Linked DNA regions of Astyanax mexicanus. The protein of the gene in region 1 interacts with the protein of each later gene in a biochemical or structural test. Links are inferred from orthologs where the notes say so. Each region holds a gene or a part of one and is shown in the gene's direction. Other genes may lie near its edges. The genes, in order: ube2s, anapc11, uba1 and anapc2.

What was found.
Region 2: the proteins of ube2s (region 1) and anapc11 form a complex in vitro, tested with the Homo sapiens proteins (31 studies listed by BioGRID). The link is inferred for Astyanax mexicanus from reciprocal best matches to the Homo sapiens genes UBE2S and ANAPC11.
Region 3: of the proteins of ube2s (region 1) and uba1, one has a biochemical effect on the other in vitro, tested with the Homo sapiens proteins (8 studies listed by BioGRID, with this or other methods). The link is inferred for Astyanax mexicanus from reciprocal best matches to the Homo sapiens genes UBE2S and UBA1.
Region 4: the proteins of ube2s (region 1) and anapc2 form a complex in vitro, tested with the Homo sapiens proteins (3 studies listed by BioGRID and IntAct). The link is inferred for Astyanax mexicanus from reciprocal best matches to the Homo sapiens genes UBE2S and ANAPC2.

What each region holds. Positions count from the first base shown.
Region 1 is NC_064413.1:7,913,972-7,920,897, reverse strand, and holds the start of ube2s (ubiquitin-conjugating enzyme E2 S), read left to right. Parts: upstream 1-3,917; 5' UTR 3,918-4,473; coding exon 4,474-4,476; intron 4,477-6,926. UniProt on the Homo sapiens protein: Accepts ubiquitin from the E1 complex and catalyzes its covalent attachment to other proteins. Catalyzes 'Lys-11'-linked polyubiquitination.
Region 2 is NC_064412.1:28,030,831-28,037,753, forward strand, and holds the start of anapc11 (anaphase-promoting complex subunit 11), read left to right. Parts: upstream 1-3,903; 5' UTR 3,904-4,053; intron 4,054-5,243; exon of another isoform or gene 5,244-5,362; intron 5,363-5,961; 5' UTR 5,962-5,970; coding exon 5,971-6,079; intron 6,080-6,923. Other genes in the region: ccdc40 (coiled-coil domain-containing protein 40), read right to left, coding at 377-484, 799-866, 1,700-1,775, 2,310-2,390. UniProt on the Homo sapiens protein: Together with the cullin protein ANAPC2, constitutes the catalytic component of the anaphase promoting complex/cyclosome (APC/C), a cell cycle-regulated E3 ubiquitin ligase that controls progression through mitosis and the G1 phase of the cell cycle.
Region 3 is NC_064420.1:35,307,181-35,314,826, forward strand, and holds the start of uba1 (ubiquitin-like modifier-activating enzyme 1), read left to right. Parts: upstream 1-4,621; 5' UTR 4,622-4,863; intron 4,864-7,646. UniProt on the Homo sapiens protein: Catalyzes the first step in ubiquitin conjugation to mark cellular proteins for degradation through the ubiquitin-proteasome system.
Region 4 is NC_064408.1:19,792,341-19,799,499, reverse strand, and holds the start of anapc2 (anaphase-promoting complex subunit 2), read left to right. Parts: upstream 1-4,156; 5' UTR 4,157-4,342; coding exon 4,343-4,453; intron 4,454-5,413; coding exon 5,414-5,669; intron 5,670-5,856; coding exon 5,857-6,181; intron 6,182-6,401; coding exon 6,402-6,534; intron 6,535-7,089; coding exon 7,090-7,159. Other genes in the region: ssna1 (Sjoegren syndrome nuclear autoantigen 1), read right to left, coding at 2,347-2,398. UniProt on the Homo sapiens protein: Together with the RING-H2 protein ANAPC11, constitutes the catalytic component of the anaphase promoting complex/cyclosome (APC/C), a cell cycle-regulated E3 ubiquitin ligase that controls progression through mitosis and the G1 phase of the cell cycle.

The sequences.
Region 1 (6,926 bases):
TTGTCAATGTAATGCTGAAATTTTTCCTCTTCTAAAACTTCTTAAAAGTGAAATGCACACAGCAATATGCGTAAGAACAATAATTGATAAAGTGCCACAAAAATGCTATGTAATAATAATGATTGTTTTCTTTGGTTACAATTTAGAAAAAAAAACGTATCGAAAAAAGTATTGTCTGGGAATAGCTACTGGTATCGACAATTTTAAAAACGATACCCAGCTCTAATTACTATCATTATTATTATTATTATTATTACTATTATTATAAGAGAGGAAAACGCAGACCTCGATTAATATATATTTATATTACAAAATACATGTATTTAAATTTTAGTTCTGCCAGTTAAGATTCTTAGTGCTTATAATTTAAAGGGCCTTTTTTCTCCTAATAAGAACAGCGGCGGATCTTAGCTGACTAGTTTGGGTTCCAAATGTCCGCCTCTACTTCTAAGATAATGGAGGTGGTAAATTTCCCAGCTATGGATAGTTAACCTTACTGAAGCTCAGTGATTACCTGTTCAGCAGAAACATAGTCATCTAAATCATTTTCATGCAGTACACTGTTTGGGTGCTGTTGTGTTGTATACCTGGCAACCCGGAGTGTGGAAATAGGTATGGGGGAATTCAGAGACTAAAACCCACACAGAATACCATAAAATACTGTATAAATCAAATAAGAACATACTGGTTGAAGCTGTCATTGGCTGCCATTGCCAAAACTCAGTATGTTTCATCAATATCTGAGGACACATTCTGGTCATGTTATGAGATATTACTGAATACATAAATCGCTAATGGTCCTTTAAATATAATGTCACAAGACAAGCCTCCATTAAATTAAATGATGGGGAGGGATTTGGGTCAACAACCTAAATAATCGGCAGATTAATCGACTAGCTACCAAAAACATATATTAGTTACAGTCATAGTTTACAATTAAAGTAAGTTAGAAACACTAAAATGGGTTTAGTTTATCATTCGAAGTTTCCGTTCCGCCTTAAACGCAGCATTGCTTATAATATAATTTAAGGTGGAACTGACTAATTCAAACATGATTATAGTGGAAAAAAGCCAACGTTTACGTCGTTTTCTCGAAAAAACAATCAAGGACTTATTCACACTCAGACACACTCATTTTTAACACACTCTCTCTACTAATATTTAGCGTTTATTATTATTTAATAACACAAAAATAAATATCACCCAATCAACAGCAGCACTCAGTGAAACACACACGCCCCTAGTTAGTTAACTTTAGCTAAGATAGTTAGCCGTTAACTGTCCTTACCTTTAACTGTGAATCCTTACGAGTTAAAACGACGTTTAGCCGATATCTCAGGAGTTCATAAATAAAATATAATCTTATAAAAACGCTTCATTTACATCTAAACCGACAGCCCTCAGTGAGGTGATGCTACTGAGTGTTAGCATTTAGCTGAGAGCCGAGCGAGTGTAAGTGTCCTGTCAAATAGTGCTACCCACCTGTATGTGCTACTTTGCCGTTATGCGCATGCGCAGATTCAGACGTTTCGAACCTTTTCATGTGATTTTCATGATAATTCTGTTTTTCTTGTGTGAATTTTACACTTTTAGCGGATTATTATTGTTATTATATGCTTGAGTGTTACAAAAGAGTAACTCGCAATTTATAACAGTAACACAAAAAAAATTAGTAGTAAAAAAAATCTTATCAGATTTTAACATGTCTCTATTTTTGCTAAATATCTTCTGCTATCGATATTCTATACTTCTGTTTAATTGATATATATATATATATATATATATATATATATATATATATATATATATATATATATATATATATATATATGATGCTTTTGGCCTATAGAAAGATCCTACCTGCTTCTATTTGGGGCAGGTTTTGGTACCTGAACATAAAATCGACAGAACACCGGAAGAAGCGCTATTGTTGTTGTTGACGCCCTGAACTGTGACGATATTTTCTTAAAGCAACATAAATTATTATTGCTGAAAAAAGAATATTGCTGGGAAATAATATTATTCACGTAGAAAAATCTGAATCTGAAATTTGAAAATATACATAAAATCTATATAGTATATAGTATATATGAAGAATATAAAAAAGTCTTGAATAACCAAAATTAATACTGTCTGTCTATGATTAAAGTTATTATTAAATATTGCTATAGAAAAAATGATAAAAATGGTAAAAGTTCTTTTATTTCCTCGTTTTATTTGTTTACATTTATATGGGCTACAGTAATGTAAAGATTAGACAACTAAACAAAATAAAAAAATATAATGTATAAGTAAATAAATAAGTTTATACTGGAATATGACATATTTCTAAGTTCTAGACAAAGTTAACAAAAAATACTGCATTTTACTACATTTATAATACTACAAAACTCAAATTTAATATATACTAGCTCAGGATATTCCTGAGTATTTCTGCTAAAAATAAAGAAAGCCTACCCATGTATTTCCATTTTTCTTCTACGACAAAGGTTTTTAGATAACAGATTTGCTAGCATTTCTCACTGTAACTGATTGATTGTTGCTCTGATGCTGATGTGTTCTACAGCCAGAACACATTTCTTAAAAGTCATATAAGTGGAGTTTTAAAGCTTTTAAATGTATGTCTACAGTACTGAAGAATTTGGTATTGTTCCATATTGATGGAATTAGAAAAGATGGGTATTCTGTGTCCTTACTGATGATAATACTCTATTGTAAAGAACATCTAATGACTTTTGATGCTGGTCAATAATTCTCCCTGACAGGCTGACTTACATGTTTCCCAATATTATATTATTAATCACAAACACCTTCAGTTTCCCAATCAGATAGAATCTCAGACTGGCTTTTTACTCTCCTCAGAATAGATACACAGTGTAAGTGGTGGGACTGTAGTTCACAGAACACACAACCTTTATCCTCTAATCTTAAGGTAAACAGAGCATTCTGAGAGCAGGCTGAAGCACTGTGTATATTGGAGCGCCATCTAGAGGACTGAATAGACTGGCCACAGCCCTCACTAAACACAGATCTGCTAAAGGATGAAAAAATTAAACAAGCATAGGAATCTGAGATACTTTGACAAAAAACAAATTGTGATGTTCAAGACCAGATTAGACAATATAAAAAATAGACAAAAGAGGGCCACCGTACCAGTCCCTGTTTCTACCAAATAATTCAGAATTTTTCTAAACATTTTATCCAGAACACGAAAAATCAAAAACATCCATCACTCAACTCTGTCACATTCAACCCAGTCACACTCAACCCAGTCACATTCAACCCCATCACACTCAAACCTGTCACATTCCATTCTATAATATTCAATCTGGTCACATTCAACTATTTTATACTCAACTCTGTCACACTCAGCTCCTTAACCCTGTCACATTTAACCCCATCACATTCAGTCCTGTCACACTGGGAACGCTCACAGATGCGGGGCAGTGGTGTGTGCCCACACTCAATAAATATATATATATATATATGTGTGTAAGTATATATGTATGTAAGTATGCAGGTGTGTAGGTAGGTAGAGAAAACTCATTGCATTTATTTAATTAATTACTATGAATCATTAAGCAGCATTAATAAATCAGTATTTTACAGAGACTGTCACAAAAACAACCTCAAAAAAGAACCCTAATTTTTCTATAAAAGATATAAAACATCACATAAACTTTATACGTTTAAAGAGTTTTTTTATGTATTGAAAGAAAGTTATATTTGCATGCTTAGCCTCGCCCCTGCTGTGTGTGGGCGGGTCTGAGTTATTCAAACTGGCCAATCGCAGAGGAGCATTTTTCACATTCTACGGTCCAGCTGGACTGCGTGGTCGCTGAGAGCGGCGACGTCACTCCTTGCGTGTGCTGTGATTGGTTGAACGGCTGCGGTGGCTTTTGCAGGCAGGTTTTATTGCCGGAGCTGATTGGCGGAGCGGCCGTGCTCTCTCTGTTCGTATTTTTGTTCCTGTGTCAAAAGCAGAGAACTGTTAGCTCGCCAAGAAGAAGTCAGAACCGGTTTCTGATGCGAGTAAGGCAACGACACCGCTGCAGTCTCCTGCGTTTCTTTTATTTCAGTTTATTTAGTTTATTTTAACCGGGTTTGGGGACCGGTAACTCCAGCAGAGACGAGAAACTAGCGGAGTTAGCATTAGCGCTCTGGCTAATCGCTTCCAATAGAGCAGACTGATCTGACTCCAGGCTCCGGCTGAGCTAACGCAGAGTTTAGTGGCGCTGAAACCGAAAACAGTCTCATATTCGGTTTAATTCGATTTTAAATTGTCGTTCGTTTCTTTCTTGAAGTTATAGCTAGCTCCTTAGCTAGGTGTTTGCTCTAGTAGGTGTCAGAGTGTTGAGATAAGCTAGTAAGCTAGCTAGGTTAGCTTAGCTACATCGTTAGCCTGCTCGCTCAGTTTATAGCAAGGCTCAGTTTCCTAACGTTGTTAACTACAGTTCCATCTCTAAAGACAAAATGGTAAGTTATTCCACCTTAAATACTCCTTTTCTGATAAAATACATCAAAAATATTTGTCTAACACATTCGGCGTGGAGCCAACACCAACCTAAGTTAACTAGGTTGGTGTTGGCTAGTAAAAGCGCTTCTGATTTCTTTTAAATTGTTCGTTCCACCTTAAATGTCTTAGCAATTAACTAGTGTGTCTAGCTGAACCCTGTCACCTCATTTAAGGAAGCGTCAGTACTAATAAGAAGCTAACCTAGCAGTCGTGGCTAAATAAGTTTTTAATATTTTTTTATATTCCCCTTAAATTCCTTAGCAGTTTAGCTAGCTGAACTATATTAGTTTAGCTGGCTGGTTTCTGGCACCTCATTTAAGGTGGAATGGTCAGTACCTATAAGAAGCTAACCTAGCAGCCGTGGCTAGGCTAACCTTCAAGGCTTGACGATACAATTGACTGATTTTAACCTAGCTGTTTTTTCGATTAAATTCCAAAAGTAATCTAATTTTGTAGCCTAGCTAGCTATTCAAGACCACTAGCTATATCCATTTTTTGTATTTAAATTTCATAACAATATAACATATGTTTAGGGTAATACAATTAATATTTTTATTTGTTAGACTAAGGCGATAATTTTGTGTTTAGAGATACAATTCCATCCAGTATTAATAATTAGTGTGAAAACATAATATAAAACTTAAGTCTGAAAAGTAGGGATCCACCAATATGGAATTTCTGAGCTGATACTGATTCAATATTACACGTACATATCTGCCGATATACACGTTGAACTTGTAGCAAGAATTCACATACTGGTATAAATTCGTAACTTTTAGAATTAATAACAGAGATTGGCTGAACTTAATGTATTTTAAAATAGCAGCGTGTCTATCAACTGAAGTTATGTTTGTCACTATAATTACTTTATTGAGTTATCCAACAATAAGTGAACACAACCTTAACAATATATGATACTCTTGATTATTGTTTGTTTGTATGATAATTGACAGTTAACATTTTTTAGCCAGTCATGCAATGACCAATGCTTTAATAACTGACTTTATACACACAGTGCAAACTGCAGGAGATGAAAAATAAAGGATTAATTTTACCAAACTATGATTAATTAAAATGTTGTCTTAAAATGAGTATAATGTATTTGTTATGCTAATAGATTATCATTGTCAGTGCCATTGTGTTAAAATGACAACTTGTTTATTGCTATAATTTATGGGACAATATATTGTCCACAAACAATTTATTGATATCATTGTTCATTCCTACTTACTAGTGTTCTGTATACCACCAAAAGATATAAAGACCCACCCTTTTAATTCTAGGCAGCCTGATTTATTATTGAGTCCCTTAATACAATATATATTTGGAATTCAATTGTTATCATGCAGCATCAAATGGGCTGTCTTCTGCCTTTTTGTGTGTGTTTCACACCTGTCTTGTTTGGTCCAGACTGCAGGTGTAAAAGGGGTTGTGAACCACGGTCCAGTCCAAAGGACCAGAGTTTGGTCAGACTTAAAGAGGTGCTCTCATTCTGCATCTACTGGTTCATCTGCATCTGTGTGAAACACTTATCTAGATAGATCAACTTTTTTGGATCTTTTACAGGAAATTGAGTCAGTCTTTAAACCAACCAGAGGAAAAAGAGCTGGTGTCATGCCGAAACCTCATTCCCTTTGCGCTCAGGCGCATCAAGCAGCAGTATAGGCGCAAATGCTTGGACTGAATTTATTTAATTAATGTAACAATAGATTTATCCTTATTTATAAACAAAAATAAAGGAGTTTGCTGATAATCTTTTTCATCCGTTCTGCTGTGGCAGGCATCCTTATGTAAGGGGAAGTCTGATTCTGACAGAGCTAGAATTCGTCACAACATAAACCTTAGTGTTAGAACGCCATTTTTTAAAATGTATGTGTTTTAATATATTTTTAATATTCATTCAATTTCAAAGCAGGGTAGCCAGTGTCTGCCAGCTTACCTTGGGCCAGCATACAAATAAATCAGCAGGTAGCCTACTAGATAGACTTTAATTAAGTCCCAATAATACAATAGATATCTAGTTGTAACCGTATAGCACTAAATGGGTTATTCTACTCTAAACTGCTCAACTAAACTGGTCAAATTTAATGCAACCAATCAGAGCAGACCTCATTCACATACCCTAATAACATTAACATAATTTCCTTTAAAAAAGCCCTCACACATACCCAAAAAGAAACTAGGGACAAGAGGGTCTTTAAAAAAAAAAAAAATCTGTTGTTGCTATACTAATGCTGCTAACAGACACTCGATGTGTACCAAGCTTAGGTAACTCAAATTAGATTTTTTTTTGCTCAATGTGGCTTAGATCTTTTTTTCTTTTTAAATGGCTGTCTGAACGTGCCAAATCCATATTTATTTATTTTTTTATCAGATTTGAGTCACATCCATACGTGGTCCTAAATGAGAT
Region 2 (6,923 bases), on another chromosome or scaffold:
TGGAGGTCTTGTGAGCTTAATTCAGCCAAATACTAATGAAGGGAGGTGCCTAACTGTGAACCCCTGTAAAGAGCTTGTGGTGTCGTGTATAATTAGTCCATTTGTGATAGTTTGAGTTATTGAGATCGAGATATTGTTCGAGATATTGCTGATCGAATCAAAAATGGTCAGAGCAACCTAGCTGTTAGGTGTTGGGTGCTGATGTTCTAAGTGTAAATATGTGAACAAAAAATAAATAAGTTAAATAAGTTATTTGTCAGCACATATCAGACACAATACTGTCTGATTTAAGCACAATATATAACATGGTTTTAACCTGTATGTTGGTGCCTTAACTACAAATAGTAGTGAAAAACAAAGAATTAAAGTTACCCACATGCTCAGGGTCCAATACGATAAGATCTTTATCGTCATCTTCTTCTTCTTCATCCTCACTCTGCATCATCATGCTTCTCTCGTCTCTCTCGCCACTTATGAGAGCCGTCTGGATTGGTAGAGTCATCATTATTGATTCCATTTGCATACAAGGTGAAAAGTACACTCAGAATGTACTGCAGACTGTTCATCAAATCTTAAGATAAATTAAATATCACAATGAGTTAAAGCTGAAGTCGCCCCAGAAAAAAAACAATAACTGAAATAAAAAACATTTAATTTGATCTCTTCATTTAAAAAATGATAACATGGATTCTGTTAACAATCTCTAGCATTATAAACTGTTTTTTTTTTTTCGATTGTTAGATAAATGCATCATAACAGGATATAAGCCTGAAAGAAAAAAATATTTGGCTTCATTACTGTGGAATTGGCCAATGTGAGGTGCAGAGATGACGGTGGAGGATCAGGCAGGGTACTGCTGTCCTGCGCTGGAAAGCACATCACACACACACACACACACACACACACACACACACACACACACACATACACAAACACCCTTCACGTTACTGTAAAGGAACAAGCCTCAAATCAACATGCTGATTAGTGAACATAGGCTTCTAGGCTATGTTAGTTATATAACACTCGTTCACACCAGTGTAAAATCTCAGCAGATAAACTATATTTTTGCTAAATTGGTGTTACTGTGACTTCTAAACAAACTATTGCTTTTGAAAGAGCTTTTACTAAATTTTGAGGAGTATGCTTTGGTCAATTACAGAAATTTCAGTTTCTTTTTTTTATCTTAACCCAAAAGAGCCCATGATGATGATGTATGTCACAGACCCTTTAAAAGAGATGGAAAATTTGTTACAGAACTCTGTCCTTCATAAAGTCACATACACTGAACAGCCTGAGAGCATCACAGGACAGTGTATGAATGTGTGTTTAGTGTGTTTGAGTCCTCTCAGTTAGTCCTTTAGATAAATGTGGCTCCTTTAAAGCTGTACTTTTTGCTTTTACTGGTCTGTTCCAACCAGTTTAACAATTCCAATGCCCTAAATAAATGTTTTACTCTCCATTTAACTAGTTCTGATACAATTGCTAGAGCACACTGTTAAAATACAAGTTATAAACGTATTTTAAGAGATATATTAAAAAATATAATTAGTCATATGTTACTCACTGAATTTATGTGAATTGGCTTTTATAGGTTAAAGTTTCTAATCAAAAAGTGTTCCATGCATCCATACAGTGGAAAATACATTTTCCTCCTGATGTTTGCCTGTGCTGTTCTTGACGTAGGCAGACTTATACAGACCTGAGTGAGTGTGTGTGAGGGGAGATGTCTCTGAACCGCTGGCTTCAGTGTGAGTTTGTGAAACTGGGCCTGAACCCTGCACAGAAAGCAACAACACATCAGAGCATTTAAACAACCAAACCACCATGTGCAGGCTACTGCTCCTATAATCTTACTGTAGACAATTCTAGTAAGGCTCTTATGGTCATGATTATTACCATCCTCTGCGATGTCCATTGTGGGTAATAATGACTTCTATAAAGTATTCTTGGTACACTCTGTATAGGTAATCTTACTCCCAAGATAACATCTTACACACTCCATATTCAGATTTGGGTTTTCACAACCCATCCATAGAAATAAGTACTTGAAATAGTAGCTCTTCCACGGCTGTAGACATGCCAGCAAACTCAAAAATAGAAATACTACACAGCATCAAAATTAAAATTTCTTGCGTATAAGTGTGCACACAGAAGTCTTCAGTTCAAAACAATTTAAAACAAAAACACAAGTCATGTAATAGTAGTGTATTGTTAAATGTTTAAATCCTTATTGCTAGTATAAAATAAATGTCTGCCTATTCGGGAGGATAGGAATGAAAACCTTGCTGTGACCATAAGCAATTTCTGACCTCTGCAGCCCCCTCTGCTTCCACTGGAAGACCCTCCGTCTCCCTCTCCTGCTTTCCTCCATCTTCCCCACCATTCTCCATCCTAAGAACAGATAAGAAAAAATGGCCTGTGTGGAGTTACAAAAAAAAAAACTGTCCAGAACAGGTAAATGAAAATGATCATTATAACAAACTAGAGATGTGTGAAACAAACTAGAGATGTGTGAAAAAGGACACATAAAATTTTACAATTTATTTTACAAATTAGCAATTGGTTTTAGTGGTACATTTAAACATGTAGACCTCCAGTCAAACAATTGTGATGTTTTGTAAGTTATATGTTATCTTCCCTGTTGGACCAGAACCTTCCATTTTCTCCAGCTTTATTTCTGCTTGTAGATGATTCTGCTATTAATACAAACATCCAGGAAAAAGGGTGTTAATGGCTGCTAGTAAAGCAGCCAACAAAAAAAACTTAAAATCTTAAAAGACATATACCTGAATGAATCACTGCCAGGCTGCATCGTGATGTAAGGGCAGCCACTATTCGACAGTGGTCCAACCCTATTGACTTTATTAAAAATGCCTTTATTCAATTACGAAGGTGTGTGCACTGCAAATGGTATTCAATTAAATTATTTATTTATTATCATTTATATATCTTGTGGCTAATTTATCACGCCTAGCAGAATAAAATGTGAGGCTATTTTAATAGCTTTCCAAGATTGTGGCTGCCTTCACTGAACTAATTTATACAATTCATAGCTGGTAAGTTATCTTACATACACACATACTTAGTACAATAGTCTAAAGTTTACTTCTTATTAATAAAGACTATAGGCTGAAAATATTGCAAGCCTTATTTATCACTGAGTTTTAATGAGGTTGTTAGTCTGCATTTTAGTCAGCAAAAAAAATTAATTTATAAAGCTAAATAAAAAGGCTCCGTTTTCTGTCTTTTTAATAAATAATTTTAAATTAGGATTGTTTCTGGTTGGTTCTACTGCTTGAATGTATGATAAACTATCTTCATAACCATTACTAATTTTTAATAGCCATAACAACTGTCACATGTTATTTTGTTTCCTGAAAATCTTAAAAAATGAGTTAGGGAGAATTTTAGGAAAGTGTCTCTGTGCAAAGATGTACAGTCTCGCTTATCCCATTTTGAAAATGCCATTAAAAACAACAGTGTAGTTAATCGAATAAATTCGAGTAACCTCCCACCAATATAACAAACTGCAAATCAAATAAGAAAATGGACAAGTTAAGTAGTTATAAAATAAACAGGACAGATAAAACTAAAGAGAGAAGAGAAGAGAAGAGAAGAGAAGAGAAGAGAAGAGAAGAGAAGAGAAGAGAAGAGAAGAGAAGAGAAGAGAAGAGAACCAAGTGGTTCTTTTTCTTACCTAAACTGAAACTCTTGTGGCCAGTAAACACTAAGATAAACTGAACCAGACTGCCTTCAAATGATTAATATGAATAATCATGGACATTTCCAGTTAAAATCGTTTTAATAAATATCTTAGCTTGGATAGATTAAGCTGGGTCTGCCTTCTTCCACCGCCTGCACTGTTTGACCCGTTGCTAGGAGACCGCACACTTCCGGTGTCGCCAAACTCGAGCTGCAGTGTCGTGCTTAAAATTAAGAGTCTGTTTAAAACAGTTCATACATCCAGTTTATTCTGTGGAGTTATGAAGTGACACCCACTGCTTGTTATATTTCACTGTCGTACAGATATGGGCTGGGCTGCACCAATTTTGCGTAAGTTTCTTCTTATGTTTGTGTGCAAAGTCTCTAACGTTACTAGTTATTAGTTTCAAACTATCATTTTACTGAATCTGGGTGCACCACTAATCTGTGTGGCATGTCCTAACTAGTAACAACTAACTCATGCGCAGAGTTACTGATTGACGCTTTTACATGACGAAAACAAATATATAACATGTTGGTAATCAACGTGTTGCCATGGAAACGCGGTTTAACAGCATGTGTTAGTGGATAATGTAGCTATAATGTTATGGGTAATATATTATAAGCGGTATTATTTCATACTTATATAGTGCATCTCAAAAGATTAGAATATCATTGAAAAGTTACTTTATTTCAGTAATTCTGTTCAAAATGCGAAACTCGTATATCATATAACGTTAGATGAATTATACGCAGTGATCTATTTTAAGTGTTTATTTCTTTTATTGTTGATGATTATGCCTAAAAGCCAATGAAACCCAATAATCAGTGTCTCAAACAATAGGTGCTTTTTGCAGTGTGGACAGTGTGCCAAATCCTGCTGAAATATAAAACCCGCATCTCTATAAAAGTTATCAGTAGAGAGAAACATAAGGAAAATACTGCACTGACTTTGGACTTGATATAAAACAGTGGACCAACTCCAGCAGATGTCATGGCTCTCCAAACCATCAATGATTGTGGAAACTTCACACTAGACCTCAAGCAATTTGGACTATGTTCCTCTCCATTCTTCCTCCAGACCCTGGATCCTAGATTTCCAAATGAGATGCAAAATTTACTGATGGTCAGTGATGGTTTGGAGAGCCTTCATCTGCCGGTGTTATATCAAATCCAAAGTCTACATATGTGCTACACTGGTGTAGTTACAAACATATGCCTGCTCAGATTTGTGTAAATACTTAGTATTTATACGTTCCTACGTATATACTAGTTGGTGTAGGACAACACGATTTGATTTAGTTTAGCCTTTTTTTACAGCTAGCCTATGTTTAACTTACAGCTGGTGCAGCCAGCCCCTGTGATTGGCTTAGTGCTTAAGCAGTGTTTTAAGTGTATTGGGATCTATCATTTAATTGGATAATTAACTAATTCATAATAAAAAAATTCTGCAATTCACTTTTCAAAAGTCATTCAGCTCATTGGCTGCAGTGCACCTGTAGTTGGTCTGCCAACCGCCATAATATTAGCCATAACTCCGAAAGAGCTCCCGGGCAGTAGGGGGCGAGATGGAGCTGTTAGTGTTGAACAGGAGCTTCATGGCGGCGCTGTAAATAAAATGGAAAGCGGGAGGGAAGCGGAGCTTTATCTGTATGGCTGGGTATTTTCTTTTCTTACTGTTACTTTTCTTAAAATATTAACCGTAGTTTTATGTTCTCACCACAGCATTTTTAGAATGTTTGGTCCCACTTTAAATGGTGCTGCTTCGTTAGTTAGCAAGCTAGCTACAGTATGTGTGTAGTTATAACCTGACCCCAGCTGCTGCATTTAGACATCGACAGGTTTCTGATTTGTATGTTTTGTCACTCACGTTTGATTGCAATATTCCTGAAATGTAAGTTGTTGTGTAGGTTAAACCATTTTGGTTAGCAAGTTAAGGTTTGTTCACCAGGTTTCAGGCTCCAGTGGTGATAAAACGCCTACTGAACCTACCATATATCGATTTGCTGGACAATGGGAGGTTTTTCAGATGGTGCCACAATACACTCAGGAAATGTTATGAGTTTATTTTAGTGCATAACAAACTCTTAACACTGCGTTCTGCAACCCGTGTAACATAACTCTATATAATATGTATTATATAACTAGCTAGCTTAGTTATCTAAACGGCGTCCATGCAGGTAGCTAAGTTACTTTCACACAGCTTTCACCTCTTCAGCTAGCTTTTTGTATTGACTGGACATATCCCCACAATTTCAGAAGTGAGAAATGAAGGTGAAGATAAAGCAGTGGAACGGCGTGGCATCCTGGCTGTGGGTGGCCAATGACGAGAACTGTGGCATCTGTAGAGCCCCGTTTAATGGCTGCTGTCCAGACTGTAAGTAATCTTTTTACACAACTCTAAATGTAGACACTTCAAGGTATTGAAATCCATTTCCGCCATTCGAGGGAAAAAATAAGGGTCCTCCACCAAGTCATAATTATAAGATGGTAAGGCATAATAATTATGATATACTTAGTCTGCGGTTATTATTTCATAATAATGACTTGGTATCTTATAATTATGCCTTACTATTTCAATAAAAATGCTTTGTATCTAAATTATTACTTAACATCTCATCATTATGACGAAATATATTGTAATTATGACTTAGTATCTCGTATTAATGACTTAGTATCTCCTCTCAACAATTATGGCTTAGTATCTTGTATTAATGACTTGGCATCTTATCTTAATAATTATGACATATCATCTCATAATAATGACTTAGTATTTCATCTCAATAATAATGACTTGCCATCTCAGAATTATGACTTAGTATCTCCTTATAATAATAATAATAATGGCTTAGCATCTCATAATAATTCATTAACAGCTCGTAATAATGACCTAGTATTTCATCTCAAAAATAATGACTTAGTATCTCATCATTATGACTCAGCTTTTTGTAATAATGACTTAGTATTTCTTGTAATTATAACTTAGTGGAGGACTGTTGCATAGTGGCGGAAATGGGCTTCCATATAAAGGAGAAATGTCTGTATAAAAGGTAGGAAATTATGGTATTGGTAAATGGTACAATTGTGCCAAATATTAACAAATTTAGTTTTCTATTGTATATTTGTGCATTGGTAAAACTAAGGCAAACTGTGTTTCTGGTTTCTAAGCAATGTATTGATCTGGGATGAATGGAGTGTTTCCCACACATAACCCTCTCTAA
Region 3 (7,646 bases), on another chromosome or scaffold:
TTTTTATAAGTGACCTACTGTTTATTATCAAAAATTGCAATTTATATCCAGAGAGTATATCCAGACAGAAACATGTTGAGTTAAAACACACTTGCACCACTGTTCAAACCATTGGAATCATAAATCTAACCTTTTTTTGAATGTATGGAAGCAAAAATTGCGGCCCAATACCAATATCCAGGATTTTTCTCAAATCTGTACATGCAGAAATGAAACATTTGTGAAATACAGATATTAAAATACAGAAAATAATGTATCTTTTAAATACAATTCACTCCACTGTTGCATCTAACTGTACCCTTAATTTTATGCCAGGTTACATAATTTGATCAAAAATCATTTTAAAGGCCGGAGGAATATGTGAGTATTTTAACATTTTAAAAGTACTGTCAAAGAAAAGATAAACGAGGAGACCGAACACTGGTTAAAATATTACCGCTCAACATGGAGCTTTTTTACAAAATCTTTCCAATAAAAAGAATGCCAATCAGCTGGTTATGGCGCAATTAGACGAGAGTCACCTATATTGTGGAGCAGGTGGAGATCTGCGAAAGTGCATTAAAAATGTACATATCTTGTACATTATTGAGCACTACAAACATGTTTAATAAACAGCTATTTGTCCATACGTTTTAATAGTTTTTATATTTTATATTGCATTTATTTTATTATATTTTGAAAAAACAAACAAAAAAAAGCTGTGTGAACACGGGTTTAAAGACATTATTTAAAAAAAAAACACAATTAGAATACGGCTACTTTAAAGTGGTTAATATGGATGAGATGCATTATGAATAAGGAAGAATTTGTGTACAGTTGTACTGGCACAAATTATTGTGATTCCAATTTTTGAACAGTAGTGTATCATAGAAACCAACAACCAGATATTTAAATACCTTTTTATTGGCTTCTTTAGTGAGTGTATTGAGTCTAATTATTTTAAGTGTTTTTGTTTCTGAATACAAGCAAACATGTTAAAATGATTGTTCATGATAATCAACAGTATGGCAGATAGACGTTAGATTAAAAACACTGGAGCATTCCTTTAAATGTAAGTCATGGATCTCAAAGTAGCAGCTATTATTTTGAGGCTGTAAAAAGTTTTATTTATTTATTTATTTATCTATTTATTTATTGTGGGAGGGGGCAGGCTCATGTTCAAATAATAGATTAGCTCTGTTAGCATTTTATTGAGTCATGTGCAGCTGGGTTTGTAGGGAAGGTTGCTCCGAGCAGAAAAGGGACAATTACACGTTTGAGGCTTTGGGGACTGTTACTAACACAAAATTACAGTCTAACGTCTCTTTGTGTGCATGTTCAGACCTACGACACCACATAACAAACGACTCTGAAACTGCTGTAAATACTTCTGTAAATACTTCTATTCTGGTAGCGAAGACTGATCATCTCATGGCTGATCATTTCATAATCTTACAGTCACAACAAAGCTGATTAATGCAACACCCTTATGGTCTTGTACAGTCTGACATAACCTTTAACCTAAACGAAATGTGTAAAACATGATTATATATTCTTCTTCATGTATTTATATTTTTTAATGTACTTTATCCAATTTGAGGTTTTATTTTTGAAGTTACTTTGGGGTAGCTGCAGAGCAACAGTGATCACAGCTGCCATTCGTTCTGTAAAACAGTATTTCTCAACCGTGGTCCTCAAAGGCCACAGCCCTGCAAAATAACAAATGATAGGGGGTTAACATTTGGAGACGCCACATTATAATCACTGTATTAAACCTCCTATTAGTTTTCTCATTTCTGTCTCTTTGTAATTTTGTTTAAATTGCATTTAAATTGGTTTAATTATATTTAAAGAGAAAAACTTTACATATTCAAAAACTTGTATTTTGTCCATATCAGTGACTCTTAACATTTTAAAATAAATTCTCTGTGTGCCTGAAAGGGTCAATAAGCTTATTCGCTGGAGCAGGAAAACAACTGAGAAACAGGGTTGAGAAACACTGCTTTAAGAAACTCCTAATAAAATGAACCACACGAGGGCACCACACACAACTGTATGAAAAAAAGGCTCTTTTCTAAGTCCATTCTCAAGAATTCATGGCCTATTTGCAATATCCAATGAAATACCCGGTTTATTCTTAATATTGTACAGCACATAATTTATGCATGTCTTTCTACTTTCTTCTCTCTCTGTTATGTATCACGAAATACTGTTTTTAAAAGCTATATTCTGTGCGTCCTAATCAGTAGAATCAGGCTAATTTCAGGAGGCTAACCAACACAAACCTTTATCTTTGTTTCCTGTGGTCTTGGTACATCCTTCACGTTTGATCAATGTTCTATTTCTCCAGCTTTATTTTCTTATTATAAATATCAGTTATTATAATATTTTAATTGTATGAAATGTATAGATATGTATTATACTCTACCCAAAACAGAATTTCTAAGTGTTTCAGCCTCGCTTGTGTGTTCTGTACCTCTAACGTCCTCTTTACGACTCTTTTGTCTTGGTGGTGTGAATAAATACTCTTCCAAGCTACTTTTGCACTCTTTCTGCCAAGAATTCAATAAAAAGGTAGACTTTATGATATGGTCATTGTTTTGTGTGCTGTTCCTTGTTACTTGACTTGAGACTTGATTTCTTGGAGTATTTGGCTACTAATAATTATGCAGTATCAGTATAGTATGCTTAGTATAATAATGTGTATTCGTAAACACAAATAGGCCTTAAGGCTGATTTTTACTGTTTTTGGTCAAGTTTGGCAATACTGATAACATGCATGGTTTAGCTTTCTAAAACACTATTTAGAATTGTTTAATACTGTCTTAATAAAGACTATTTAATTCAATTATAGAATTTGTGCTGCACATGTAATGTCTAAAACTAGGAGTTGCCAAACTGGCCTCTCAGTTTATGGGTGTATAACTGGGTCACTACTTATATAAGAGTCACAATAAAGAACACACACACACACACACCAACAATCTGTGCATTATGATAAATTGTGCACTGGGGCTGCACAATATGTTTAGTTTCAGCATGATCATTGCTAATGTGTGCATGTACAATAGTATCACTGGAAGTTGTCTAATTTCACACAAAACAAATCTAATAAAACTATTTATACATTACATATATTCTATGTTACACATGTTTTAGTTACATGTAGTGCATTATTTGTAAAATTTATATACAAAATAATTATGTGTAAATGCTGTGGTGCAGTAACACAATATGTTCTAAAACTGCTACAGACAAAGCTTTGTAAATTGACATTTTTTAAATTAATTTCCAAAGCTCACTTTATTTCCATTGCCTACTTTTTTAAACAATGTTTTTTTTTTTTAAATCTCTTTTTAGTTTGTTTGAAAAACACAAAAGCAAAGAACACGCAGGGCCTTTTTATACAAGCTTGTGAGATAAGCCTGAGAACTCAACATTAAGAGCACTAACTGTAAATGTAATGTTTAGCAGTTTTTTTTTATCATTAATGCTGAATTTAAAAACATAAAAAGTTAGTGTAACAAAAGATCCGCATTTCATAGTCAGAATAAGCTTCTCACAAATATGATGGTATAACCCAAACTAGTTTTGTTACATAAAGTTACTTTTTTCCATTTTCCCTGAGATGAGAAGAGAGATGTGAAAAAATAAAAAAATAAAAAATGGAAAACAATTTTTTTCTGCACTACACTAGATGTACAAATAATGGGTTTTTACATACAATATTCTAGTTTTGCATTTAAGCTCAAATAGTCAAAAAATGTTTACTAATGAATGTTAAAGGTCAGTGTAATGTTTTGTTTTCTGAGTGTTTAAGGCTAAATGCAAAAATAGAAAATTGAATGTAAAAACTCATTATTTGTTTTTTTTTTTTAAAGTAGTGCAGTGTACAAAAAATGTATCCATTTTTCCAATTTTTTTTCGTCTCTGCCCCTCACAATCGGAATTTCAGAAAAGAAAAAATCTGTTTTTTTTTTTCATTTTTGCATCTTGCAAGTTAGATTATACCATCAGATTTGTGTTACAAGGTACAAAAATAGACAAATCAGAAAATCGAGATACTCTTATATTTTTAAAAAAATTCTGTTAGCGAAAGGCTGAAATGAAAAACTAGAAGAAAAAAAATGTATGAAAATCCATTTTTTTCTTGACTTTACAGAATAGGAAAAAAGTTATATAATCAATTTTCTATTTTCGAATTTAGCTTGATACAGTCAGAAAACTAAACTGCTATAGGTTACACTGACCGTTAACGCTTTTAACACCATTACCTCTAGACAACAGACTAAACTCAGAAATAGTGAAATAGTGCATCATTCGTATCAGTACTGCGTTTCCCGCCATGCTCAGCGCCAAATGCAAACTACGGGCGAGCTTATTTCAGGACACGCGGGGGTGTTTCCAGTAGTTTCCAGTGCGTGCAGAAATATTTGAGACCTTTCCCGTGCTGTATTAAAGATGAATCATGTGCAGTGCTGTGTTAATGTTGATTGACTGAAGCTGTTTGAGTAAATAAGGTCAGAGTGTTGTGAATTAAGGGGTGAGATGTGGGCTCGTGCAGCGTGTGTTCACCTCGTGCAGTCTGCAGTTCCTGACTCAAACTCTGCACATGTTGCTGCTCCGCCGCTCGTGAACAACTGAAGAATAGAAGTGAGCACTTCTCGCGCTCAGAGCTGGTAACGGTAGCGGTAACGGTGCGGTTGGTGGTCAGTGGTCAGGAGTCAGTCCAGCTTCTTCTCAGCTTGGAAAGTCGAGGAGCTCGAGCCACTTCGATACAGTGTGATATTAACGGTTAGACTAGTGGGTTTTACCGTTTTTTTGTTGCCTGAGAAGCGTTTCTGTGTTCAGTACGGTGGAAAGGCCCCGGTAATATCGGATGTGGTGAGTTCTGCATACTTATGTGCCTGGCTAATGCTAACCAGCTAGGTTAGCTAGCAAGCTAAATAGCAAACGCGTACACAATAATAGATTTGGGCATCTTGCTTAGCAAGCTAGCTAGGTTAGCTAAGCTAGCTAGATTAGCTAGAAATTTAACTAGGTTAACTAGCTAACCACATCGGTAGCTAACTAACTTAACTAGTAGCTAGCTAGTTAGGCTAAGAATGTGCCTCAAAGACTTGTCTGTATAAGCTAGCTAGCAAAATTAAAATTGTAGTAACAGTTAAGTTAGTTAGCTAGCTAACCTTATTTGCATGGTTTTAAACGTAACCACATGATGGTGGAAAATTCTAGCTTGATATGAGATGACTTGTGATATAACGTTATATTTGTAACGTAAATAAATTAGAATTTAGATGCATTTATATTATAATTTAGCTAACCATAAGTGGTTTAAACAGTCAAAGTTGTCAGTCCTTTTTGTCTTATCCCTTGTGGTGATTAGCTAGTTATCTAACCTACATAGTTAACTAGTTAGCTTAGCTAGCTGGCTAGCTAAATAGCTGTTGTAAACAAATAAATACATTTTTGAAATTGAAAGACTGGCTCAGCAAGACATGCTTTTTTGTGAGGAATGCTTCAATACTGAATCTACAAATAGCTATTTGCAAGCTAGCTAGGCTAGCTAACCTAACAAGAAACTACAAAGACATGGAAAGACATGCTTTGCTTTCCTTGCCTTCCCCTTGTTGCGCTCTAGCATCGTTTGGCAGTTATTGGCCAACCTAGGTTAGCTCTCTTGGCTACAATTTCTCTACCAGTCCACAATGATTATTAACATAGCTAGCTGGTTAGCTAAAGCTAGCTATCAGTGCTCTTTTGTGGTCTGTGGGATCTACAGTAGTACAGGGTGATACTAATCATAAGCATGTAGGTTAAAGAAATTGCATAAACTTAGGAGTCAGAATGGGAGTCAGCAGCAGTTGCACGGTTGACTGTATTGATATAGATAAGCAATCAGCCATGCTGCACATTATTACTATCATTGGCGCCACTGGTAGCTAACCAGTGCTGGTGGTCAGATATATTTTGAAGATAGCAGTCTAGCTTCCATAGCTAGTTAGCCAGATAGCTAAATAACTCGCCGAATTACATATAGTAACCTAGTTCTAAAGCCTGCTAGCTCTAAAGCCTGCTAGGTTTGCTAGCTAGCTCACCGCTGTTTATTTTGTCGTCCTTAAAAGTGGCCGCGCTGGCACTTTAACAACTAATAATCTACGCTGAGCGGATCAATATTCGCCCATTGAAGCGCAGATGAACGGGGTACCTGTGCAGAGCAGTGGAGTGTGATGTGTGAAAGAGTTGCACATATCGTTTACTCGGGGGGGGAGAAAGCCGCTTACAGCCAGAATTGAAGCCCCTGTCTTGGCCTCAATTCCCCACACAAACAAGAATAAACGGCCCTCTTGGGCCTTTGTCACAAGGTATCAACCCCTCCTTCCAACGTTTATTCGTTTTATATGTATTTTTTTGTATTTGTTTCATGAAGTGCGAACCCAACAATGCTTTGTTGCATCCTTGCATCCTGTCATCATGCATTCTTGCATTCTTGCATTCTTGCAAGTCTCTGTGAAACAGATAAACATGAACCCATCATCTCCATTCTTAAGGCCAGAATTGGTTTAGTGGGGTAAAAAGGCCCCCCCAGAAGTGAGCTGTGGAGCAGTGGATCTGTATTCTTTGGAATGATGGTGCTCAATCAGTACTTTTGAGATGAAATGGGGTTTTGATATTACTATCTGTAAATGCAATCAGATCCAGAGAACAGTGTTTTCAAAATCTAGAAGAAAGCCACTCCTGGTCAGTAGAGACATTTTCTCCAAAAAAGCAGTATAAATACCTTTTTAATATAATTAAATAAGCAATGAATTACCAACATTTTGTCCATATAGTGTAGTATTTGGCAAATATTCATTGTCCAGAGCTCCTGGATTCTGCATCATTTTATGTATTATTGAAATCTATTCATTACATTTGAGTTAGATTAAAATAAGCTTGGTCAGTGTTATTCAAGGGGAACAAAATTGTTTAAGTAGTAAGGTAGACGTTTACAACAATGGAAAAGCTTACATCAGCATGGGTCATATTAGGCCAATTCAGTTTCCTATAATGCCATTCTTTTATATAGCACAAGCTGGGTTCAGGTAGCTGTGAGTGCTGGGTTTAGGCTTGCTGGAAACTACTTCAGACTGTTGGCTAAGTGATTGTCGGTACATAATTCTGAAAGGACTCTTTGGGACATCAAATAATTTGCTTACAAATGGAATTACTTGAGAGAATTCTGAGATAATAGACTGATTTCATGTAGTTAATAATCTTGGCTCTGTCTCCTATTAGTGTCTTTGTGTCTCTTGTAGGTTTCTTGTCTTTACAACCCCTGTCATTCTTCAATAGGAATGTTAGTGGAGAGTGTTCTGTGGTTCTATATTGTTCTATATGTAACTAGGCCTGTCTTGATAAAATTATTTTTGTTGACAATATATCGTCCCAGAAATGATTCCGATAAACAATATCATTGTCATTTTAAGACACTGGCATAAAAATAACATAACACTATAACAAAGCAGCTATACCATTTTAAAGACAACACATTTTTAATCAGTCATAGACTAGGAAATGTATACTTTTCTTCACTTGTTCACTGCAGTGCACACTGTGTATGAAGTCACAGTTATTAGTCATTGCATGACTCGTTTAAATACTGTTCACTGTTATTTATGTAAACG
Region 4 (7,159 bases), on another chromosome or scaffold:
AATCACACTGCTTTCATTTCCCATTATATATCTACTAAAGACAAATTATATCTGTCCAGTATCATTTATTTCTTTTACTCTAATCCTGGATATATGGAGATATTTGGAGTGCATTATTAATATCATGACATTCTGGATCATTGACTTCTGTTACAAATCTGATAAAATTCTTGTATAATAAATAATAAAATTTCAATAATAAAACAATATTTTCTTTTTTTTTTTTGCAGTAGTGTGTTCTTGAAATATTTGTTTTTTTTATTCAGCGTTTTGTCATATTGCCAAAAGTATCATTATTGCGAAAATATCATAAAATATCATGATATAATTTTAGTGCCATATTGCCCACTCCTAATGTACATCCACTATACATCCAAAACGATGAAGACATCTTGCTCAGTCGTTGTTTCTTTGTTTATTCTGCTTTTTTGAAGTAATTTTTGAAACAATTATCTCTACTGTCCAGGAAAGACTTTTGGAGCATTGCTGTGAGAATTTAATTGCCTTTAGTGACAAGAACAGTGACCACACAACTCCCCATCCTAATCCATCCCATCCCCTTATGCATGGTGCCAACATGTTCATGTTTATCTGTCCTATTCTATAGGCAATACTTCTCCACAGGCACTAGACAAGCTATATTTGTGTGCACTTGCACGTCTGTGTCAGCACTGGGTGCAACTGGAAATAGCTGAATGCATTCTTTGGAAGGAGTATCCACAAACACTATGACAAGTAAAGCATCAACATGATCTACGCAGTTAATTACTGCAAAGTCCAGGTAATGGAACTTCAGTGGGAGTTTGTTTACTTATAGATCACAGCAGACATCTTGCTGAATCATGTAAAAGTGATAATGACGGAGGGATGTGGGTGTGTTGGCTTTGTCCTGACCTCTTGAACCCTACCTTTTTTAATTTTAGTTCCAAGACCTGTTACTCAGTATACGCAATAAATGATTCAGTTTGTAGTATAAATGCATAAGATTTTTGTTCTTTAGTGTTTTATGAACACTGAGTAGTTACAGACAGTGTAAGTTTATTTGATATAGTACAGCAAATCCTCGTACTAAGTATAGGGGTGTGCCAAACAAGCATGTGTAAACATTACCTGGCCCAAAAAAAGAAATAAAAAAGGCAACACCACCACCAATTTTTTTTTCTTTGATTGCAGCACACATTCACTGTGGCATTGTTTCAATAAGCTTCTGTAATGTCACAATGTTTATTTCAATCCAGTGTTGCATTAATTTTTCACCAAGACCTTGCATTGATGATGGTAGAGTCTGACCACTGCACAAAGCCTTCTTCAGCACATCCCAAAGATTCTCAATGAGGTTAAGGTCTGGACTCAGTTGCCCTCATTCTTTCAGCACATACTGTTGCTTAACCTAGACCTGACCTACTGCAGCATCAACCCCACATCATTTACTTACTTAAATCCAGGTGGCAATTTTATTTCATGCAGTGTATATTATATCAATATAACCATATAGGCCAACCCAAACCATCAAACCAAGCTGTACTGCTTGAATTTTTGAACCAGGACTGGCATAAAGTTATCCAAAAGCAGTGTGCAAGACTGGTGGAAGAGAACATGCCAAGGTGCATAAAACTGATTAAAAATAGGGTTATTCCATCAAAAATGTATCTTAAACTTTATGAATATGGACTTGTTTTCTTTGCATTATTTAAGGTCTGAAAGCTCTAAATCCTTTTGTTATTTCAGCCATTTCTCATTTTCTGCAAATAAATTCTCTAAATGACATTTTTGTATGGGAGAAATGTTGTCTGTAGTTTATAGAATAAAACAACAATGTTCATTTTACACAAACATAAACCTATAAATAACAAAATCAGAGAAACCAATTCAGAAACTGAAGTGGTCTCTGAATTTTCGCCTTTTTAAATTGTTTATAAATGAAAACCTCACATTTTGTTAACATTATAGCATGTTGTATTTTTTCAGTAAAAGATAACTCATGCTACAATGTAGTAAATAATACAAATAAATAATATATAAATATAGGAATGTTTTAACAAACGTTAGACTGGAAGGTACTGTATATAGTAAGATATATAGCTAAATAACATGAATTTTAATGGAAGGCCTGCAAAGTAAGGCTGGGTCTGACAGCAGCTACCTTAAAACTACCTAACCTAGTTTACTTAATCTAACTCAGCTAATCTCAGTCCACCAACTGTCAGCTCACATAGCTCAACATTAACATTAACCCCGACAGTCACTGAAACAACCAGTAAAACACAGTCAGAACTTTAATTTAACAGTTTTACATTACTATAATAGACTTTATTAATATAACAGAGTTAATGTAGAGTTACTCACACTTCACCAGCTCGTTGTTGTAGGTCTGTAGAGCGGCTCCTTGTTGGGTCATGCTGACTGTACTGAGTTTCAGCTCAGCAGTAAAGTAAAGTTAGATTAAATAAGATAGGTTAGATATCTCTAAAATCCTCACACTCCTCGTATATACAAGTTTATCGCACAGCTGTAACTTCACTCTTAATAGAAAGTTTGAGCTGAATCCATTCACTCCCTCTGACTCCAGCCTCCTTCTGTTTCTACAACAACCTCAGCCTGCAGCTCTTCTTCTTCTCCTCCTGAAATAACGCGCCTTATGGCGGGTGGAGACACTGCAGTTCAGCGCGACTCCGCCCCTGCTGGACTGGAGAGGAATAAAATACAGCTTTAACCCCTTCAGACCTTTCAGCGTTATATTACAATGAAAATATACAAATATAAATATAAAATATAAAATAAAAAATGCACAAAAAATAATAATCTAATACTCTAATATGACGTCCAGTTAAATCCAATTAACTAAAATATCTAATAGTTTTTTTTATGTCCATTGTACTGGAAGCCTGTGTTTTAAATTTGATATTGACCTTTAATTTCACAAACCATTTCTACACAGTAAAAATAATACAAAATAAAAAGTACATAACATTTGCATCAATTAGCTTTTATTCTTTTTTAGAAGATTGATTAATTTCATTATAAACAAAATTAATTCTATATACAAATACAAATCACAAATAAAATCAAATGCAGCAGAAAGAAGAAAAAAAATGTTAGAATATCTGCCTCATTTGTTCCAAGAATATTTTCAAACATTAGTAATTTACCAAAAAAACAAAACTAAACAAAAACATCAAATCCTTCCCAAACAACAGTTCGTATAGATACACATTATACTATTTAATTTTTTTTAAACAAACCAACTTTTATCATTCTTTTTAACACATACATTGTTCTAGCATATTTAACGTCACTCTCCAAATGATTCCACAATCTTATCCCTTGAATTTAAGTACAACGCTCTTGTTTTTTCCAGTGATGTGGGCGCGGCTAAGCTAGTGTTTCTTTTTTAACTATTTTTTTTAACAGTTTTGCATGAAACTGGGTTTGTCTAGTCAGGAAATCTATTTAAATATGTATTTATAATAGATTAATATTCCTTTCTGAAGCTATTCTCATTTTTCTAGGTTGCTAAATAGAAATATATAAAGATTTTTTTACTCAACATGGTTTTACTTCATAGCTTTGGCATTTGTAAATCGTAAAAGCTTGTATACAATAGCTACCTAATCAAGTTTTTATTTTGTCCAGTTTTGTTTTCAATAGAGACCGAAGGATTGATCAGCACTGTTGTATAGGATGTAAATCCATTTTGCATACTTGTTTCTCAAAACGTGTGAAAATATAATGGCAAAAATTACAAACAAAATTAAAACCCTTCATTTGCAATTTAAAATGGCCTTTTGCCATTTCACTTTCATTATCATACAGGTATTTCCCAGTCAAATGTAAAATAAAAAACTGTGAAAAGAAAAATCTAAGCTTTTTTCATTTTACCACATTTGCAACAAGTTGGAGCTGCTTAATATTTTCCAGAGCTGTATATTTTATGGTAAGGTTATAATAAGTGGGGATACAGGTAACAAATGGTATTTTTTCAGTGTTCCAATTAGTTTTTATGAATGTTTTTAGTCACATATCTTACATTTGCAAGTAGGTCTATGTACAAGACACTGTGTTTAACAATAAAATGTATTTTGTGTGCACATTTAGACATGTAATTTCCTGTGGATAAAAAAATACAGCCTTTTCAGCGTCATCGGGTCGTGGACGTCATCACTGAGGGACAGCAGCTTGAAGAAGAGCGCGGAAATAAACAGCAGCAGCAGGAGAACCAGAGCTAATGGAGATCGTATAGCTCGAGTTGCTGAAGCTAAGCCGCTGTAATCACTGCACACGGCGGTACAGAACCTCGGGGCGCGGGCTGTTCGGTAGAAATGCTGCGGGGACGGCGGGCTGTATGTTTGTAGGCGGTGGTCGGACCCGCGGAGCTGGGGGAATGAAGGACGGCGGGGCGGTGCTGGTTCCCCCGGGTCTGCCTGCAGCCTGGGCCGCGGTCACCGCTGCTCTGGTGAGCTGCTGCTGTGCAGATATATAGGCACTGACAGTCCTCAGGGTTATCACTGAGCTGAGTAACGTTTATTATTATGATGTAGGAATGTAGTTCGGGCTATTCTTAATCTGATACATACAGTCTAGGTTAGCTAGCTAGCCTGCTAATAGTGTAAACATCCTGCAGTACAGCACAAAGACAGGGTCAGCTGGCTGCACTGATCTCCAGTTTACAGTTATATATATGTTGTGATGCAAGAACAGTCAAGTTTTGTCAAGTTTTTGCTCTTTCAATTCTAATAGTTTTGGAGGTGTAAGCGTTTTATGCTTGCAAATGTATATTTACATTCGTATATGTTAATGTAGATGCTTGGTACAAACACACATTAGCCAATGAATAATATATCCCAACTAATTGTGCTCTATTTGACAAAAATATTACGATATTTCAGGGCACTTTTGCGTTAACAAAATATTTTTTCGTGATGTGTTTCTTTTCTTTCTATGATTTTTTTTCTTTTACATTATAAATGTAATATTGAAGACAATATTAAAGCTATACAGGAACATATTCTGAAATATTTTCTAAATTGAAAGTGTTAAACAAACCAGTATATGTTTTATAAGTACCACATTTAGCTTTGATGACAGATCTGCACACTCTTGGTACAGTATTTTAATCTCAGGGTCTTTATGAGGGAGAGTCACCTGGAATAGTTTTCTCAACGTCTTGAAGGAGTTTCTGGAGGGGCTGAACAATAGTTACTGCTTTTCCTTCATACTGTAAAGCTCCAGATCATCCCAAATTGCCATCTTAGTTAATCAGGTTTAGACCAGGAGATTGTGGAGGACAAACACTTTTTTGTTTACTTTGTAATTTCACGTGTCCCTTAATTGTTATATCTTAAATGTATACACATATACAATGTTTAAAAAAATAGTAGAAAAAAAAAAATTAACTCACATCTGCATCCTGTAGGTTTCTCCTGCAGTACCGCCTTCAGTTCCTGATGACACTATTTCTGATGCTCTGGCTCTGCTGTGTGAACAAGGGCTGGCTCAGTATGTGGAGGGCTGGCTGCTGGAGACCTTGCAGGTTCGTTTGACCACTGATGTGGCTCCGGAGTTCTGGAGTAATTTAGAGCAGCCTAAAGGAGATTCACAGGAGAAAGACAGAGCAAGATGTTTGCTAGATGCGTTCAGGACTCTGCTGCTGCGCCTTGAACCATTTCTTGGTAAGCTATGTTTTCTTCTGTTTTTGTAGGTACTGTTCTAAATCAAATGGAGATTGCAGTGCTTGAATGCTTGCAATTTTTGTCAGAAATGTGCTGATTCAGTTGCAGGTGAACAAACCTTATTATTATTCATTATTCATCACCGTTCATCATCTTTCCTTTTTCTCATCTGTTTCTAAACTTCCAGGTGGGCTTGAGCAGCTTGGGTCTTGGCAGGATGAAGGTCGTGGGGGTCTGGTGGGCCCTGGAGCCCATGGGCTCCGAGAGAGGGCCTTCTCGGTCATTCGTGCTATCCTCCTCTTTTCTCCTCAGCCAGTGCTCCAAAAGAGGGTGCTGGAGTTCTACAGTCGCACCTTCTCTGTGCACATGAGCCAGGTGGGAGAGGGTCTGGAGGTGGAGCAGGGAGCAGAGGAGGCTGACGGGGCCTGTGTTTGTCCAGGCTGTGCAACCCCACCTCAGCTGTGCTGGTGCAAGGAGGCCCTGGAGCAGCTGCAGGAGCTTAGCCACATCCTGTGAGTGCAGGAATATTGGGATTGCATTGTTTTGTAATATAGTGTAATGTAATTTACATGGGTGGGATATAGTTCTGCTACAGCACCATGGTAAAAAGAGAAGACATCAATATGATTACATATTCCATGCTGGAAAAGAAGAATTTGCCATACAGATGTACAAGCATTGGGTGCTGTGATGTAACTTTTTATGTGTTGTTGTTATAATGGTGTGTGGCAGATCCAGACTGCAGCTCTTGGGGAGGGTTAGCTCGGAAGCAGTGACCAGCATTCTGCACCGACTGATCGAGGAGAGGATGGAGCAGCGGTGCCGGGGAGAATATGAGAATTCCTTTCTGGCAGACTTCAATGAAGTATGAGGATTCTGGCATATATTTTAATGGTCAATTTGTTGTTTTGTTTTAAGGACTGAACAATCTATGTTTGTTATTCCTCACAGTTTTGCAGATATTTAAGTATATCTTTTCATGGGATGAAACAGACTACTCTTCATTGTGTCAGTGTCATTTTGTCTGTGTATAGATTATATAACAGTGTAAGTTTATTCTTCCCTCAAAATAACTCAACGTACAGCCATTAATGTCTAAACGAAATGTTATTGAGTTATTTTGAGGGAAGAATAAATACACTGTCATATAATCTACACACAGACTACTCTTCATTGTGTCAGTGTCATTTTGTCAGTTTCATCCCATGAAAACCTATACTTAAAGATCTGCAGAAATTTGAGGGTTTTTTTATACTCTTTATTATTAAATAATAACTGTGTTATATTAATAGATTATACTGTCCTAATAAATGACACCAGAGACATAAATAACAGCTTTTTTAAATACAGTAACATGAAAATGTTATTGTTGAAAATGTTATAAATTCTTGCACATTAGTGTCCTCTGTTTGTGCTTTAGTGGTTGGAGCAGGTGCTCGGCTGGCTGAGCAGAGTCTTTGCCAGTGAAGTGGACGAGGCTGGCACTGATT